Bombyx mori: one gene and its partners. The protein of the gene in region 4 binds, or shares a complex with, the protein of the main gene of each other region. Links are inferred from orthologs where the notes say so. Each region holds a gene or a part of one and is shown on either strand. Other genes may lie near its edges.

Region 1 (3,162 bases), on a different chromosome or scaffold from region 4:
TGACCTGGTGACTAAGACCTTTAAGTCATGTCTTATTTTAATTTATAGATTTGGGCGAGATCGTTATCTTAGCCCAGACTCAACAGAAACGACTTAGAGTAGAGAGATGAGCGCTCTTTTAACGCCCAGCCAACTGATTTTGTTGTTGAATTGTTTATTGTCCTCGAAAAGTCAGTCAGTCAAAGTAGTCACGTGCGATTTACATATCCCAAAATCCCAAATCCCAAAAACTAAAGTTGATGTGAGTTTTGACATATACAGGACTACTGGAGTCAGTGAAAAGCTTTCATCTAGCACATGAAAAACATGCCCTCATACCAAGTCCGGTAGTGGACATTGTAGCCTTATAATTTATATTTTTTAATTGGAAAAAGCATTTGGAACATGTTACATTTACATGGTGTCGTTTTTTCTAGCCTTTTCCAAATAAATATGGTAATATTATCCTGTCTGCTAAATCAAAGTTCATAATTATACCTTGATAAAACAAGGTCAGGGCAAATAGAATTATTAGCCAAATAATAATTAAAACATTCAATGAAACATTATTGTACCACACAGTATTTATTAATATAAGCTTTACATTTTAAAACATATCATTTTTTAGATCCTCCAAAGCCAGAAAACCCCATAATTTGTGCTAATTCAGAAGGTGCTGGTGTATCATCTATTTCATCATTCTCCATTAACTTCCGTTTCTTGTCCCGACGTCTCTCCCTACGTAGCTCTTTCACACGAGCTTCTTCTTCAGCGGCTTCCTTTAATCTTGTGTCTAATTCATATTCACGCTTTTTCTCTTCCAACTTTCGTTTATTGAGTGCAAATCTTGCTTTTACCTGGAACCAAACAAATATAATGTAGTAGTAGTAGCTATGATAGAATAGAATAAATATTATTAAAACCTGAATGGTATTTATAAAATTGAGAACAGCTAGATGAGTTAGATAGATTATTTCAAATTAGTGGTCTAGAAATTTAAATCATCTATTTGGTTGAACATTTTACATTTATTATTCCTTAACAATAGCATTAGAACTTGATAAAATTAAGATTGAAAGAATTTGTTGAGAATTATTTTAATATTGAGTGCTCTAGTTGAGTGGGATGGTAGGTTTGCTCAACTCAGGCAATCACAAAAATAATAGCGTTGGTTCATGATGTTTGTTATTATTTTGATGCAACAGTGGCCAATTGATGATCTCAGACCATAAATCTAGTAGCAAGTCAACAATCCTATTTACCTGCTTGGTACTATGCATATACATACATGTGAAAAAGTAAGCTCACCTGATCTAAGCTGCTCCTTTCTATTTTCATGGACATTCCCAGATTCCTCTGATGTTTTTTACCATTGATGTGATCAAGGAAATTTATTGAATCTTTAACAACACAGTCACAAACATTACAATAATATCCTCCAGATTGGGACGTTGGCGTATTCTTATTGATTACTACACTCTTCCCGAGTCTCGAGTCCAAATCTACTTTATATTCACGTTGTTTGAGAAGTTCACGTTTGACTGGAGTGGCTGGAAAATGAAAATTAAACAAACATTTATATATTGTGTCAAATTTGTATTTTAACGTAACAAAGTGTGTTGACACAAATATTTTACCTTTCTTCTTGGATTTTTCTTCTTCTTCTAGCTCTGCTTTCAAACGCTCGGCTGCAATTTTCTCGAATTCCTCTTTGTCCCATTTTCTTCGGTGGTCATCGGGGCGCATACTCATGTTTAAATTTTATAGTATTTATTTCACAACAATTACAAGTTATGATTTTCTTACACACTCCACTTGTTTGTTTTATATTAAACGTGTACCCAGAGGGAAGAGTAATCAATTAGATCTATTAAAAAAATAACACGAGAAAATCATCCTTAACAACACAAACGAAATGTTTCTAATTGACAACTAGCAGTGACAAAACTGACAAATGATTAGTTGTAGTATTTCCATTTTCTAACAAGAAAGGCGAAAGCATATATATATTATACAGCCTAATCTTTTATATATTCAGTTACATGAAAATTAATATAATAGGTTGGGGAAAAAGTTTCTTCGCATTTTTTAAGAAAATTAACAAATTTTTTTAATAGTTTATTTACATTTAACTTAAGTATGTAGGTATCATTTTGTTCGATAGCTTTTTGCCATTTTGTAAATAGGGACATGATCCCATTGCTATAAAAAATTTGGGGCTTCTGATCAAAATACCGAGACAATTGGTTTTGGCAGTCCTCTCGTGATGTTAATCTGACACTGCCTAAAGAATTCTGAAGAACCGAAACAGGTGGAAACCTGAAGGTGCAAGGTCAGGACGGATATACGGATAAACAGCGGATGCATTAACATCTTCCAGTCAAGCTCTCTTAATTTTTGCTGAATGGCTAAAGATGTGTAAGGTCACATTGTTATCATGATGAAAAGCCACACTCCTTCTGTTGATTAATTCTGGCCACTTTCTCTCAACTTCTTCCTTTAATCTCATCAGTTGTTCGCAGTAGAGTTCAGAATCAATGGTCTTGCCTGGTGGTAACAGCTCATAATGAATAATGTCCTTCCAATTCCACTACACAAACAGCATCACCTTGTTGCAAGTTAACCCAGGTTTTGCCACAGTCTGTGAAGCCTGACGGACCTTTGACCACGACTTTTTTCGTACGTTCTTGTCGTGCGTGATCCACTTTTCATCACCAGTTATCAGCTTCTTCAAACATGGTTCGGTTTCATTACGTCGTAATAAAGAATCACAAATGAGTACACGGTTCATTAGGTTTCTTTCAGTGAGCTCGTGAGGTACCCAAATATCGAACTTTTTTGTGTATCTATTTTTTTTCAAATGAGCCAAAGCTGTTTTGTAGTCAATTCCCAGTTCTTCAGCTACGTCGTAACTACTGATATGCCGATCTTGCTTTACTTTTTCAAAAAGATGCGATCAGTCACTTTCACTTTTTCAAAAAGATTCGATTAGAGCGACGTACAAATTCTTAAAATAAAAATTTCGTATTGAAAACGCTTAAACCAATTTTGTGCTACTTTCACAGACACAGCACTAGGTCCATAAACATCGCAATTTTTTTTCGCGGCCTACGTTGCATTTTTACCTTTTTTGTAGTAAACTTTTTAAATGTATCGATTTTCTTCATTAGATTCCCTAATCTT
Region 2 (4,088 bases), on a different chromosome or scaffold from region 4:
TGTGAGAGGTTTTTGAACTGATTTATAGCATACAGCTGGACACTTTAATTTTTTCTCCCTTATGAGATGATTCTCCTTACCTCTTCCTTCTAGAACCAATATGCATGTCTTTAATGTTGTTCATATTTCCATTCGGAAATTAAAAAAAATATAATAATGATTATATCTCTAGCACTACATAAATGTTTTCATTGTATTTTATGAATGATAGCTTCGCCATGGCATGATGATTTAGATATTGCATTGCGATAAAAGGTATTTTTTATCAAATTATACGTTGTAATATTCTTCCATTTGCTGTTGTAGGCAGCTCATCAAACAACCCACCTGGTGTTGAGTGGCTGTAGTTGCTCATGGACTTCGGAAATGCAGGGACTTCGAAAAAAAAGCCGATGCCTACCGAGTTTTATCAAAGATCTCGAGACTTGTCGCAGTAATCTTATGGTTCAGTAAAACAATAAATAAAAACTAAGTTATATAATTAAGATAAATTATCTTTGTTACTATTAATTCAAACAGCTATCTGGTTTAAAAGACTTAAATCCAGGCCCTTAAAAAAATCCTAGTTGTATCTCTATTAATATCTATGATTTTTAGAACAGACAAGATTGTATGGGTTTAGATCTCTTTGCTTTTCCTAGTAAGGAAAAATTGTACCAAAAAATATCTATGCAGTGTGACCATATGTGGCAGGATCTTGCCATTTTGGCAGGATTGGACTCTTACACCGGTCACTCACATGCGCACGAATACGCAAACCCGCAAGTGTAGGACGACATTTGCAAATGATTATGCAAAGTTTTCGCCACATTCGTGGTTTTCCAAGCTGTGTCGGTTTTTAACAGACATCAAAGCGCGCGAACCGCGAACCTTCGCGTAGTCTCTCACACATTCGTTTGCCCAGTTGCGCCGACGATTGCGAATGTAACGGACGAATCGCCATTTTCATAGTTTTTCACGTCTACTGTGTAGCGTATCTTCATCAAAAGAAATCCCATAAAAACCGCATGGCTGTTAATGATGTCTGGGAAAGAATTCAAAACTCTTTTTCTCTTCAATGTTCTATTGACGAATTAAAAAGGAGGAGAAATTCGTGAGACATTCGTAAACAAGTGTAGGAGGAAGCGCAAACGGGTTCGCAAATTGAGTATGCGAACCCATTTGCACGGCCGCTAGGTTTGCGAATGAATGTTTGACGGCCTTTCACATGCGCGCAAACATTCGTACAATGTACGAATATTTGCGCGCATGTCAGTGGCCGGCATAAGGCAGGATCTATAGTTAAGAGATGGTCACACTGTATCTATGGTTTACGTATACATTTCATACATACTACTTCAATGAATAAAATATATCTAAAAAACGTTGATGATTTGATTCTTCATTATTGTTATTATCTAAAATATTGATTTCAATACTCAGTAACGTAAATTTAGTACAGTTGATTCAACTGAGTTGAAGCATATTTTGTATGCTACCATATATTTTCTCACATAATTTAAACTTCAAAATCATTAATCATTATTTTAATATTATTGTATTTTACAAGGTGATTGACATAAAACAATTTCTATAACCTTTAAAAATGGAAACAATTTTAGAGCAACAACGAAGCTACCATGAGGAAAGGGAAAGAACCATGGACGCAATGGTCAAAGAAATTCTTCACAAAAAAACTGGGGTAAGCCATGTTACATGATCACTGTAGATTGGATTTACCTAAGGGGTGCGGGTGCCTTATTGAGGTTAATAAATTAAAAACAGTTGCTTGATGTTAGCTTATTGAAATACATACACACATGAATACCCCTTCAAAGATTTTTTTGTTTGTACATTAAGGTGAAACTTAGTAACAATCACCTAGTACACCTATTGCACATAGTAATATGGTTACATTTTTTGTTGTATTTATTTTTTAGAAATGAACTAAATGTATTTGTTTAAAATTAAATGTCTAATTCTGATGCATTTAACATTTGAATGAACTGCTGAATGAATGGTACCTTTGTTGTATAAATTCAGGGCTGTTATCGAACAGATGAAACAATTAATAAGTTAGTTTTGTTATGAAACTACTAATTACAACTTAGATTTTTTACATTTTTAATGTGATCTGCATTGTTCCATCTATAACAATGTTTCAGCTTGATTTATTGTTGATTTGGTTTGTCCCATTAGGGACACCTTGTATGGTACTATTAGGCACTACAACTTTGTTAGTTTCTGTCTTGAAGCTATTCTACACACCAGTCAGAACTGAAGCCTCTAGTAGACTCTTATTTTGTGGCATTAATGTCTTAATGTACAAGTAACCATTTAATACTATTTAGGCTGTGGGCTTATGCATTATTTCTTCTTCTTTTTCTCCACCTTATCCCACTATGTGGGGTCGGCACAGCTAATTTTTCTCTTCCATTCTCTTCTATCAGCCGTCATCTCAACACTCACTCCTCTCTCTCTCATATCGTCATTCACACACTCCATCCATGTCTTCTTTGGTCGACCTCTTCCCCCTCTACCTTGCACTACCATTTCCATACATCTCCTAGTCACATGCATCTTCTCTCTACGCATCACATGTCCATACCACGCTAACCGTCCGCTCCTTAATTTGTTGTTTACCGGGGCCACTTTCACACTTCCTCTGATATACTCATTCTTTATCTTATCCATTCTTGTCACTCCACACATCCATCTCAACATTCGCATCTCTGCCGCATGCACTCCTCTTTCATGCTTTGCTTAACTTTCGTCGCCCAACACTCAGATCCATACAGCACGACAGGTCTAATGATCGTTTTGTAAATTTTGCCCTTGAGCTGAAGGGGCATTCTACGATCGCATGCTGTTGCAGAGACCTGTCGCCATTTCATCCAACCAGCGTTTATTCGATTTGCGACGTCCCGGTCTATGTTGCCGTCGTTCTGGAGTATAGAGCCGAGGTACTTGAAGTCGATTGGCGTGAAGTCTGAAGAACCACCAAAATCACAAAACATGTGCTTGGTTTTTGTTCGACAGATCTTCAAACCCACGTTTTCCAACCTTTCTTTCCATTTTGCCAATCTCCTCTGTATCTCAGGCCCTTCCTCTCCAACGAGAACAATGTCGTCGGCGAACAGCATACACCAAGGCGCCTCTTCCTGTATGTCCGATGTTAGGGCATCCATTATTAGGATGAACAGGTAAGGGCTTAAAGCTGATCCCTGGTGTAAGCCTACCGCCACACTGAACTCGTCGCTATTGCCAGCTGCGGAGCGTACGTACGTACTAGCTCTACCGTACATAGCTCGAACAAGCCGTTGGTATTTCCCTGGCACTCCTTTCACTTTCATGCTCCACCACAAAACCTCACGGGGAACCCTATCATACGCTTTTTCTAAATCAACAAATTGCATTATTATGTAATTACATATCATCATTATCCTGCCCTTCTCCCAGTCACCTGGGGTCGGCGCAACATGTTTTCTCCTTCCATACTCTTCTATCATATACCATTTCTTCGCTCACTCCCCTCCTACCCATATCGTCTTTCACACAATCCATCCATTTCTTCTTAGGTCTACCTCTTCCTCTAAATCCTTCCACATTCATAGTTAACACTCTCTTAACAACCTCATTTTCATTCCGTCTCATCACATGTCCATACCATCCCAAACGTGCACTCCTCAGCTTCTCTGTCACAGGTGCCACTTTCAGACTTCCTCTAACATATTCATTCCGTATTCTATCCATTCTCGTTACTCCACACATCCATCGCAACATTCGCATCTCTGCTGCATGCAATCGCCTTTCATCCGCCACTTTCGTTGTCCAACAAGCTGATCCATACAAGACGGCAGGCCTTATTAAGGTCTTATATATCTTCCCTTTTAGGGGAAGAGGGATGTGCGAGTCACATATGGTGCCCGTGACCTGCCGCCATTTCATCCATCCTGCGTCAATTCTGTGCCTCACAGTACGATCCAGTTCACCGTCGCTTTGGATAACAGACCCTAGGTATCGGAAGTCTTGACATACTGGCAAAGGTGTTCCGTCGAGGGAAATGGGTGTAAAATTGGAGAGACCGCCAAAATCACAGAACAGATGTT
Region 3 (4,244 bases), on a different chromosome or scaffold from region 4:
GGTGAGTGGGCAGCAGCCTTTACTTTGTGTAGACAAGAAAGACATCATAATGTGTATGCCACCATAATTATCACCCTTTAGCCACTTGGGATTGTATTGAGGGTTCTCTAAATTAAATATTTTTTGTGTAAATTTGTGGATACATTAACAAATAAATTAAATCAAATTTAAAATCGTTTATTTAAACTTAGATGTCAGTATGACACACTTGTTGAATGTCAAAATATAAATAACAATGTTAACTCTACCACCAATAAAAATACAGTTAAAACAGTAATTTACAAAATATTTTTATTATAAACCAGTAAAACCCAGCATCATACCACTCTTCTGTAACTATAATTTATAAAATAGATCTATTGAGAGTATTATTATGCCAATGATGGTACAATAATGATGTTTTGTCAAAATCTTTCCCTAAAGTAATAACAACGACTGTGCGAATTTACAAGGCAACCGGATATGTCTACGTTAGTTCCGATGCACACATTGTTAATCTTTTTTTTTATTGCCGACGAGCTCACAGCCCACCTGGTGTTAAGTGGTTACCAGAGCCCATAGACATCTACAACGTAAATGCCGCCACCCACCTTGAGATATGACTTCTGAGGCTTCAGTATAGTTTCAACAGCTGCTGTCACCCTTCCAAGCCGAAACGCATTACTGCTTCACAGCAGAAATATGCAGGGTGGTGGTACCTACCCGTGCGGACTCACAAGAGGTGAATTTATAAACATTAGTAAAATGTCAATATTAAACATACCTTCACACCTAAATTCTTTTTTAATTCCTCAACTTGTTGATGTGTGAGCTTTTCAATATCTTCATGAGGAGTGTAGAAGTTCTTTTCAAATGGTTCATAGTCTATCTCAGAGTGGTCTATAGGAGGTAAGGGATCGATGAACTTTTTCTTCGCTGGAGCTAAAGGATTGCCATCTTCATCATATTCTATTTCTACATCAGATGTGTCATCTGCATTATTCAGAGGATTTTCTTCCATATACCTAAAAGTTTAATGTAAAAATACTAATAATTACATCAGTTGAGCTTTGCATTGTATATCATTAAGATTCCACCACACCTCAAGGGTGTCGATTTTCTACAGATCCACATAACCAGAAGAACAAATATTTACAAACAGATCACATCAAGCAATTTGAAGATTTTATAAGATCTAGATAAGCTTTTTTACAGGTTTATTCCATAAATTAATTGGACGTAATTACAGCTAAATTAACAAAAAACAATGAACGTAAAATTAAAGTAACTTACTTATAATAACTCTCTTCATCATCCATATCATCAATATCACCCCTAGTACCTCTCACACTGTCTTTTCCGCTGGCTGCATTCTCCTTACTGGTGACCAAATCCCGAGCTGCCTGTTGTTCCAACCCAGCCATGTAGGCATCTAGAGGATCTTCATCATCATCATCAGCCTGCAATTTTGTAAAAAAAATATAATTCAATAAGCTATATCTGCATACAACAGTTGACAGGCATTTTAATCAGAGAATCTTAAGTCATGATATTTGTTAATGATGAGAAGATTTTTCTACGAGTGGTACAATTCGCTGAGCTGTTTTTGCTGCAATGTAATCCTGTATTATGTATTCTAATGGTAGGATAACAATTGCAATTTTTTGTTTCCCATTAAAATAGGCTGCTGATTGATCATGTATTTTTCAGCTCATTAATTTCGAAGTGAATATTGTCAAGGATAAAAAAAAAACAAATCAAAGCCGTATTAAGTAGCTGAAACGACTAGATGATCATAGCCAACTGATGTTACTGATGCTGAAAAACACCATACTAAGAACAGTATTACAATTTAAATAAATAAATAAATAAAAAATTGGCAGAATTAAATTTTGAAGATAAAATATCCAATTCTAGACTTCAAGAACTATTGAACCCATGAGTCTCGGTCACTAACCAGATGTATCTGTTTACATATTTATAAAATATCATCATAAGCAGGACAGATTCTAGCTGTCATCTACATACTTACCCTAGAACTGCTTGCTGCATTAGTAGGGCTTCCTGGTGCAGGTATATAAGCCAACGCTGGTGTTGGAGGTTCATCATCATCATCAAAATACCTACGAAACAGAGTCATGGTATCGTTTTCGAGCAAAACATAAATGTGTTTGTAAAATTTGTGAGAATAATGAGATAAATGAGAATATTAATCTAAAAATTCTACTTTATTTATCACTCTACTCTATTTAACAAATTAAAGCTTTGCTCTTACTCATCCTCGGTTTTGGCGCGTTTCTTCCCAAGAGTACCCCATGTGCCAGTTACAGCATTTTGTGTAATAGCACTCATTGTAGAATATCCTTGTTTTGAAAGACCACTGGAAGGCGGTGGGACAGCATGCATAGACGTCGTTGGAGGCGGCACAGCATGGAGAGACACATTCGAAGGGTTTCGCTTCGGCATCGAGAAGCCGGCAAACCCCATTCCTCTACCACCACCGCCCGGATAACTCATTGCGATATTTATTTAATCACAAAATTAAAATTGTTCAAGTCAAGAAAAGTGTTCAAGCCAATTTATAAGGTTATGTGTCTCCTGTATATCATAAATATTGTTTCCTTCAATTTAGAGGTAAACATGAACCCATTGTCAATTATAATGCATGACAATTTCAAAGTAGGTACGTACCTACTACGTATCAAATAATAATTAAATATATTATTGGCAAGCAACTGTATACTATGCATAAATTGAGAATTATCAATTTTTTTTAGTCTAGCCAAAGAGTATCAAACGCTAAGCAATATTAGTCCTAAATAGTCTAGGACATCTAGGTACTAGTAGTTTTAGTTTTCTAATTGGAAAGGCAAAGGTATCATACCATGCACCCTAATTTTTGGTATTTTTTTTAAATGAAAAATGATTTTGTGAAATGAAGTTAATTAACATGAAACATGGCATGAAATGAAATGAGATGAAATTGTTGGACGGTTAAATTTGACGGGATTGGGCTCTGTAGGTGATGAGGGGCTATTTAAAAACACACTTCTTCATTCTAATTATATTGCAGATAGTTTGAACACTGTTACACCATTATAAAATTATTATCTTTATATTTTTATAAAGCTCTTACATGTTTCTTTGACCGTGTCTAGATGAGAAGTTCTGACTTTTTCTTACGAGAAGACAATCATCTGTTTTTTAAATATTTAAAATAATTCTAATATTCGAAATCTGTAATTATGTGTCAAGTGTTGCCTGCCATTACATTTATATTCAAACTCCATCAGAAATGAAATGAAACGAAATTATTGCTCAAAGTCATTATTTAAAATTTGATTTTGATATTGTGAGCTTACGCGTCCCCGACTAGTTAGTGTGTTTTTGATGTCTGTGCACGCTGTCGTAACTCTCGGAGCGCCCTGAGATACTTTTATTTCTATTTAGTTTGTTATCAATGGATGTCGCTGCATGTAAATTCAACAATTCCTGAATCGCAGTGACGAGATGTTACACAGTTGATGACGTTCTCGTATTTCTCTTCCGAAATCATACTTACCAGGCGTAGGGATGCCGTGATCATGCAGGTGGTTTCCCCAGGGTGAGGCTGCTTCATTGCAGTGCGGAGTGGTTGACCCTTGCGATTATTTACATTTTTTATAAGTTTATTGTTGTAACCTTCTTTTCCATATTCCATTATTTGAAATATACTTCGAACACATTGTCATTTTTACCATCTATCATTATTATATTTTATGCTATGTCTTGAAAACATTGTATTATTATATTGGCGACGAGTTAAAAGAAATTAAGATGAACGATGAACAATTCGCATTATTTTTACATGCACAACAAAATCAGCAGGAGCAGATTTTACAAATCTTGAAATTGTTGGTACCAGCAGCTTGCAATACAACAGCCAAGAGCGTGACGAACGACTCTTTTACAAAACATGATACGGATAACAAGATAAGTATAATCAAAAATTTCAATATGGATAAATACAACCCAGATACATTCAGAATTGACGATTACATTGATTTTTTCGAAAACAAATGCAAAATTCTTGATATCGATAACAGCGACTTACAGAAAGATTTGCTTCTGAATTTACTAACACCAGAGATATTCCACGAATTAAAAGTAGCTTTAACGCCTGATTTCGATATAGCTACATACAGCGAAATTTGTAACAAATTATTAGACCTCTATCGCATAAAAACGACGAGGTATAGAGCCTTAACAGAATTTTGGAATTGCAC
Region 4 (4,059 bases):
CGACAGATATTATGCGATTGGGTGATCAGCTTATAATGTTCATGTGGATGACGGGATCTAGGTTGAGATGTCTGCTCGGTAATTCCTCAACAGCAGGTAGAGTTTTGAGCTCGTCTGCCAAACGGCATTAATAAAATAAAAGATACAAAACATAATGCAGGGACAACACATAGCACAATTATGGCCTTGCAAACCATTATGCACGCAGCGATTCTACTTGTTTTTTTTTTTAAAATAGATTGATCATCGGAGTAACGGACCACTTGGTGTTAAGATAAATCGATTCCCTCGCCCACCTTCGTACATGATGTACAAATCACAATAAAATCTATCCTTAATTCCGTTCAGAAAACGCTCTGGCGGTACCTAAATAAATACATAATTATATATTTATATGACCAAAGGTACAGAAAAGGTACAGTTACAGTTACAGAAAAACAATACAATTTTCCATTAGGCTTAAGGACTCTAGAAGATGTACAGCCTATTCGCCAATTCTCAAGAAGACAGCAGGGTGCCTCACCTTTGGACTGACAGGCGCTCACTGGGCAGACAGAAAAAAATAATTGCGTATTCGCTCAGCTATCAAAAAGCAGAACGGATAGGGAGATTTGTCTACTGCCGCCCTACCGAGGAACTCTACCGAGATTACTGAACCGAGGCCTTAGTCAGGACATTGTATATCTCCGACGACCTTTCAAAATCAGTCGGAAATAATTACGTTGGAAGCACGTTGCATTGCATTCACTTTATGATTTGGCCCTTTTTTCACGTAACAATTTAACACAAAGTGAGCGGTGAGCTCGATGTCTGTAACTAGGAAGAATTTGAGAGAGAGATCCTTATCAAATCTCTAGTGAGATTAGATGTGTCTTAATACGTGTAATTCCGAATAATTTAAGTAAATACATTTAATATAACTGTATTTTAACTAAATTAATTTTGATTTTATTATTAATAAAACTTTTGTTATTAATGAACTAACATTGAAGCTTTATTATCTATTAAGGTAAATTAAAGTTATTTTTATTGTCTATTTAAATATCTCATTGCATGTTATGTGGACTGCAATGGACATCTATTGACAAAAAATAGCCGTTGCTCATTCGTTGAAAGCCTGTGCTACAAGTTTCACTACCCAACAACAGATGGCAGAAAACAGCTACTAAAATATTTCTTATATGGCAACATTCCTCTATAAAACTCGACGCCATGATGCAAAATCCTCTCATTTGATTGGTCCGTGAAAACGAAGCTCAATGGCGTGCTCTGAATCCGCCATTTTACCGGCAACTGCTTGTGCCGGTTCACCCGTGAAAATTAAATACTGCATCGAGCCGCATTGCGGCCATCAATTGCTAATATTTAAAGGTAATCTTTTAATTCTCTCGTTTTGCTAGACTATGATGCATTTCAATTTGTATTTGCACTAGGTATCTCCACGATAAATTATATATTAATCGTGGTCGTTTTTTCGGTGCTATAACAGAAAGCTCACCCATTCGAAAGCACAAAATCCTTTCTGCTTTCGTCAGTTACGAGCCCTACATTTTAATTCCACACCTCTGTTTCAGTTGCTTAATTATTTGAAAAGATAAATTAACTAACCTAACCCGATTTATTTTCAGGGATAGGTTAAAATAAGATCACGATGTATCTCTACAATTTAACACTGCAAGGTTCATCTGCCATAACACATGCCGTACATGGAAATTTCTCTGGAACTAAGCAACAGGAGATTATTATATCACGTGGCAAAACACTTGAATTGTTACGGCCAGATCCGAACACGGGAAAGGTCCACACATTAATGAAAATTGAAATATTTGGTGTAGTTCGGTCTATTATGGCTTTTCGTCTAACCGGAGGAACAAAAGGTAAGTAAACTTTGGCCATGTGACCATGTGGTCCATTGAACTGTGTAGCTTATCTCTTTTAAATTATCTTAATCCCAGAATTTCCTCTCAAATCCAATATTTTTACATTATATAAGATCGAAAATAACACTGCATCATCTTGCTCCATGTTTTTTATAACACAAAGAACATGGGATAACTAGATGCACAAAATATGGCCAAAGCGTCGCTCCTTGCATTTTCTCAATGTTGGGATGTACCGCAATGGAACAAACTAATCCTAACAGATAATGTGAACTTTTATGACTCTTGACTTTGTAGCATGCTTAACATGATAGATTATTGCACACATTATAAACGCAAAAATAACCTAAATCTCCAAAGTTATACCTAACCCTGAACTTACGAACAATAGAACACAACATTAAAATATAGAATTTTCTGCAGATTACATTGTGGTTGGTTCTGATTCTGGACGTATCATCATTTTGGAGTACATCCCAACTAAGAACATTTTGGAGAAAGTCCATCAAGAAACATTTGGTAAATCTGGCTGTAGGAGAATAGTTCCTGGTCAATATCTATCAATTGATCCTAAAGGAAGAGCTGTTATGATTGGTATGGACTTTTTCATAATACCTACCTCTTGAATCAATTTTAGTTTTGGGTTCCAAAAGAGTAGTTTTGGAATGCTGCAACTAAAAATTACAATTAACCTTTAGCACTGCTACAAAGCCATAAGACTTTCTTCTCGTCTCGAAAATCTGCCAGAGTTGCTGATATTCAGTGGTACAAAACGTGGAGTATTAAATTCTAATGCCCGTATCTTTAGACGTTTCGTCAAATAGTCCTCTTAACTCATCCGATGATGCTCGAGCATTCCTCCCAAACTTACTCGAGTTTGGTATTTTTAGTCGACCATTACAATATTCATCAACTGTCCTCGAGTGAGGTAATAATGATTAAAATTTGATCAAGCTTGACTTTATTTATTAGGTAGTAAGCAAAATATGACTCTTATGTAGGTAAATAAGGAGTTTCAAATATCTAACCACTAGTCTAAACAAGAGTCTAACCTCGAACTATTTACTTTATTAATAAAAATTATCAAAATATGTGCGAATCATGCACAGATCCAGGCCATTGCACAACAATATCATATATTTCCATTTGCGGTCCACATACTATTTGGAAATTGATAGAAAACCAGTCTTGAGGAACGTTCATGGTACGTCGCGACGTACCTTGACTTGACAGTTCGCTTACTTCACTCCGATTAGGAAAATTTTCCAAGGACGTTTGAGTGGAGTTTATTTTTACGACTAAGCATACCAAAACGCGCGTTGGAGGTTGAGTCGAGTCAAGCTCGTGTAAACGACTAAAGATACGGGTGTAAGATTTGTTTTCTCTGATTTTGGTTTATTGAAGGGAAACTAGTATAAGTTTACTTAAGCACTGTTTGTGCATACAATTTCAATTGGACCTTTTGTAATTTAATTTGTTTGTACCTTTTAATGTATACTGTAAATTTTTATTGGCATTTATGGTGATGTGAACCAATAAACTGGAAAATATAATTATTAAGATAAGTAATAATGGGACTCTAGTTATGCCACACATGTGATGCATTGATTTGAGACCAAAAATCGCACATGTCTTTTTTTAAGGTGATTATCTCACTCTAAAATCGAAAAACAGGTTTACTGTTTTGAAAACATCAGTAAAAAGATATAAATATCTTAATTCCAATGATGCTTGGTCAATCACTAACTTTTGGTTATCTCTGAAATACTGTCATTTACAATACCATACAATAAAAAAAAAAAAACAATTTTCACTGTCTGATCTTATAAAACTGCTTTTTGTACTTTGAATGGTACAATATTAAATTCATTACATTCCAATTTATTTGCTCAAATGAAATTTACAAAATCAGTACTCAAAGTTTATTTAAATTTTAGGTGCAATTGAAAAACAGAAATTGGTATACATTTTGAATAGAGATGCAGAAGCTCGACTAACAATATCTTCACCACTTGAAGCTCACAAGTCAAACACACTAGTTTATCACATGGTTGGTGTTGATGTTGGATTTGAAAATCCCATGTTTGCATGTTTGGAAATTGATTATGAAGAAGCTGATTCAGATCCTACCGGTTAGTAGTAATTTGTTAATTGAATGTCTTGTCATGTTTTGCTTAGA

Evidence for each region. The genes of interacting proteins can lie anywhere in the genome.
Region 1: splicing factor 3B subunit 3 (region 4) and zinc finger matrin-type protein 2 share a complex: the UniProt entries of both Homo sapiens proteins name them as parts of the spliceosome B complex. The link is inferred for Bombyx mori from reciprocal best matches to the Homo sapiens genes SF3B3 and ZMAT2.
Region 2: splicing factor 3B subunit 3 (region 4) and splicing factor 3A subunit 3 share a complex: the UniProt entries of both Homo sapiens proteins name them as parts of the 17S U2 SnRNP complex. The link is inferred for Bombyx mori from reciprocal best matches to the Homo sapiens genes SF3B3 and SF3A3.
Region 3: the proteins of splicing factor 3B subunit 3 (region 4) and ATP-dependent RNA helicase DDX42 are in contact, whole or in part, in a cryo-EM structure (PDB 7EVN), measured with the Homo sapiens proteins. The link is inferred for Bombyx mori from reciprocal best matches to the Homo sapiens genes SF3B3 and DDX42. Residues at the interface, in NP_036558.3 of Homo sapiens: Glu159, Ala160, His161, Tyr211, His219, Val220, Val221, Arg222, Lys223; in NP_031398.2 of Homo sapiens: Lys145, Gly146, Ile147, Arg148, Asp149, Asp150.

What each region holds. Positions count from the first base shown.
Region 1 is NC_085128.1:9,737,989-9,741,150, forward strand, and holds zinc finger matrin-type protein 2, read right to left. Parts: upstream 1,935-3,162; 5' UTR 1,732-1,934; coding exon 1,617-1,731; intron 1,530-1,616; coding exon 1,288-1,529; intron 837-1,287; coding exon 597-836; 3' UTR 546-596; downstream 1-545. UniProt on the Homo sapiens protein: Involved in pre-mRNA splicing as a component of the spliceosome.
Region 2 is NC_085112.1:8,797,984-8,802,071, reverse strand, and holds the start of splicing factor 3A subunit 3, read left to right. Parts: upstream 1-1,243; 5' UTR 1,244-1,585; coding exon 1,586-1,681; intron 1,682-4,088. UniProt on the Homo sapiens protein: Component of the 17S U2 SnRNP complex of the spliceosome, a large ribonucleoprotein complex that removes introns from transcribed pre-mRNAs.
Region 3 is NC_085114.1:15,057,923-15,062,166, reverse strand, and holds the start of ATP-dependent RNA helicase DDX42, read right to left. Parts: upstream 2,846-4,244; 5' UTR 2,497-2,845; coding exon 2,255-2,496; intron 2,103-2,254; coding exon 2,012-2,102; intron 1,440-2,011; coding exon 1,273-1,439; intron 1,005-1,272; coding exon 764-1,004; intron 1-763. UniProt on the Homo sapiens protein: ATP-dependent RNA helicase that binds to partially double-stranded RNAs (dsRNAs) in order to unwind RNA secondary structures. Unwinding is promoted in the presence of single-strand binding proteins.
Region 4 is NC_085117.1:14,815,503-14,819,561, reverse strand, and holds the start of splicing factor 3B subunit 3, read left to right. Parts: upstream 1-1,210; 5' UTR 1,211-1,371; intron 1,372-1,628; 5' UTR 1,629-1,651; coding exon 1,652-1,877; intron 1,878-2,303; coding exon 2,304-2,474; intron 2,475-3,817; coding exon 3,818-4,012; intron 4,013-4,059. UniProt on the Homo sapiens protein: Component of the 17S U2 SnRNP complex of the spliceosome, a large ribonucleoprotein complex that removes introns from transcribed pre-mRNAs.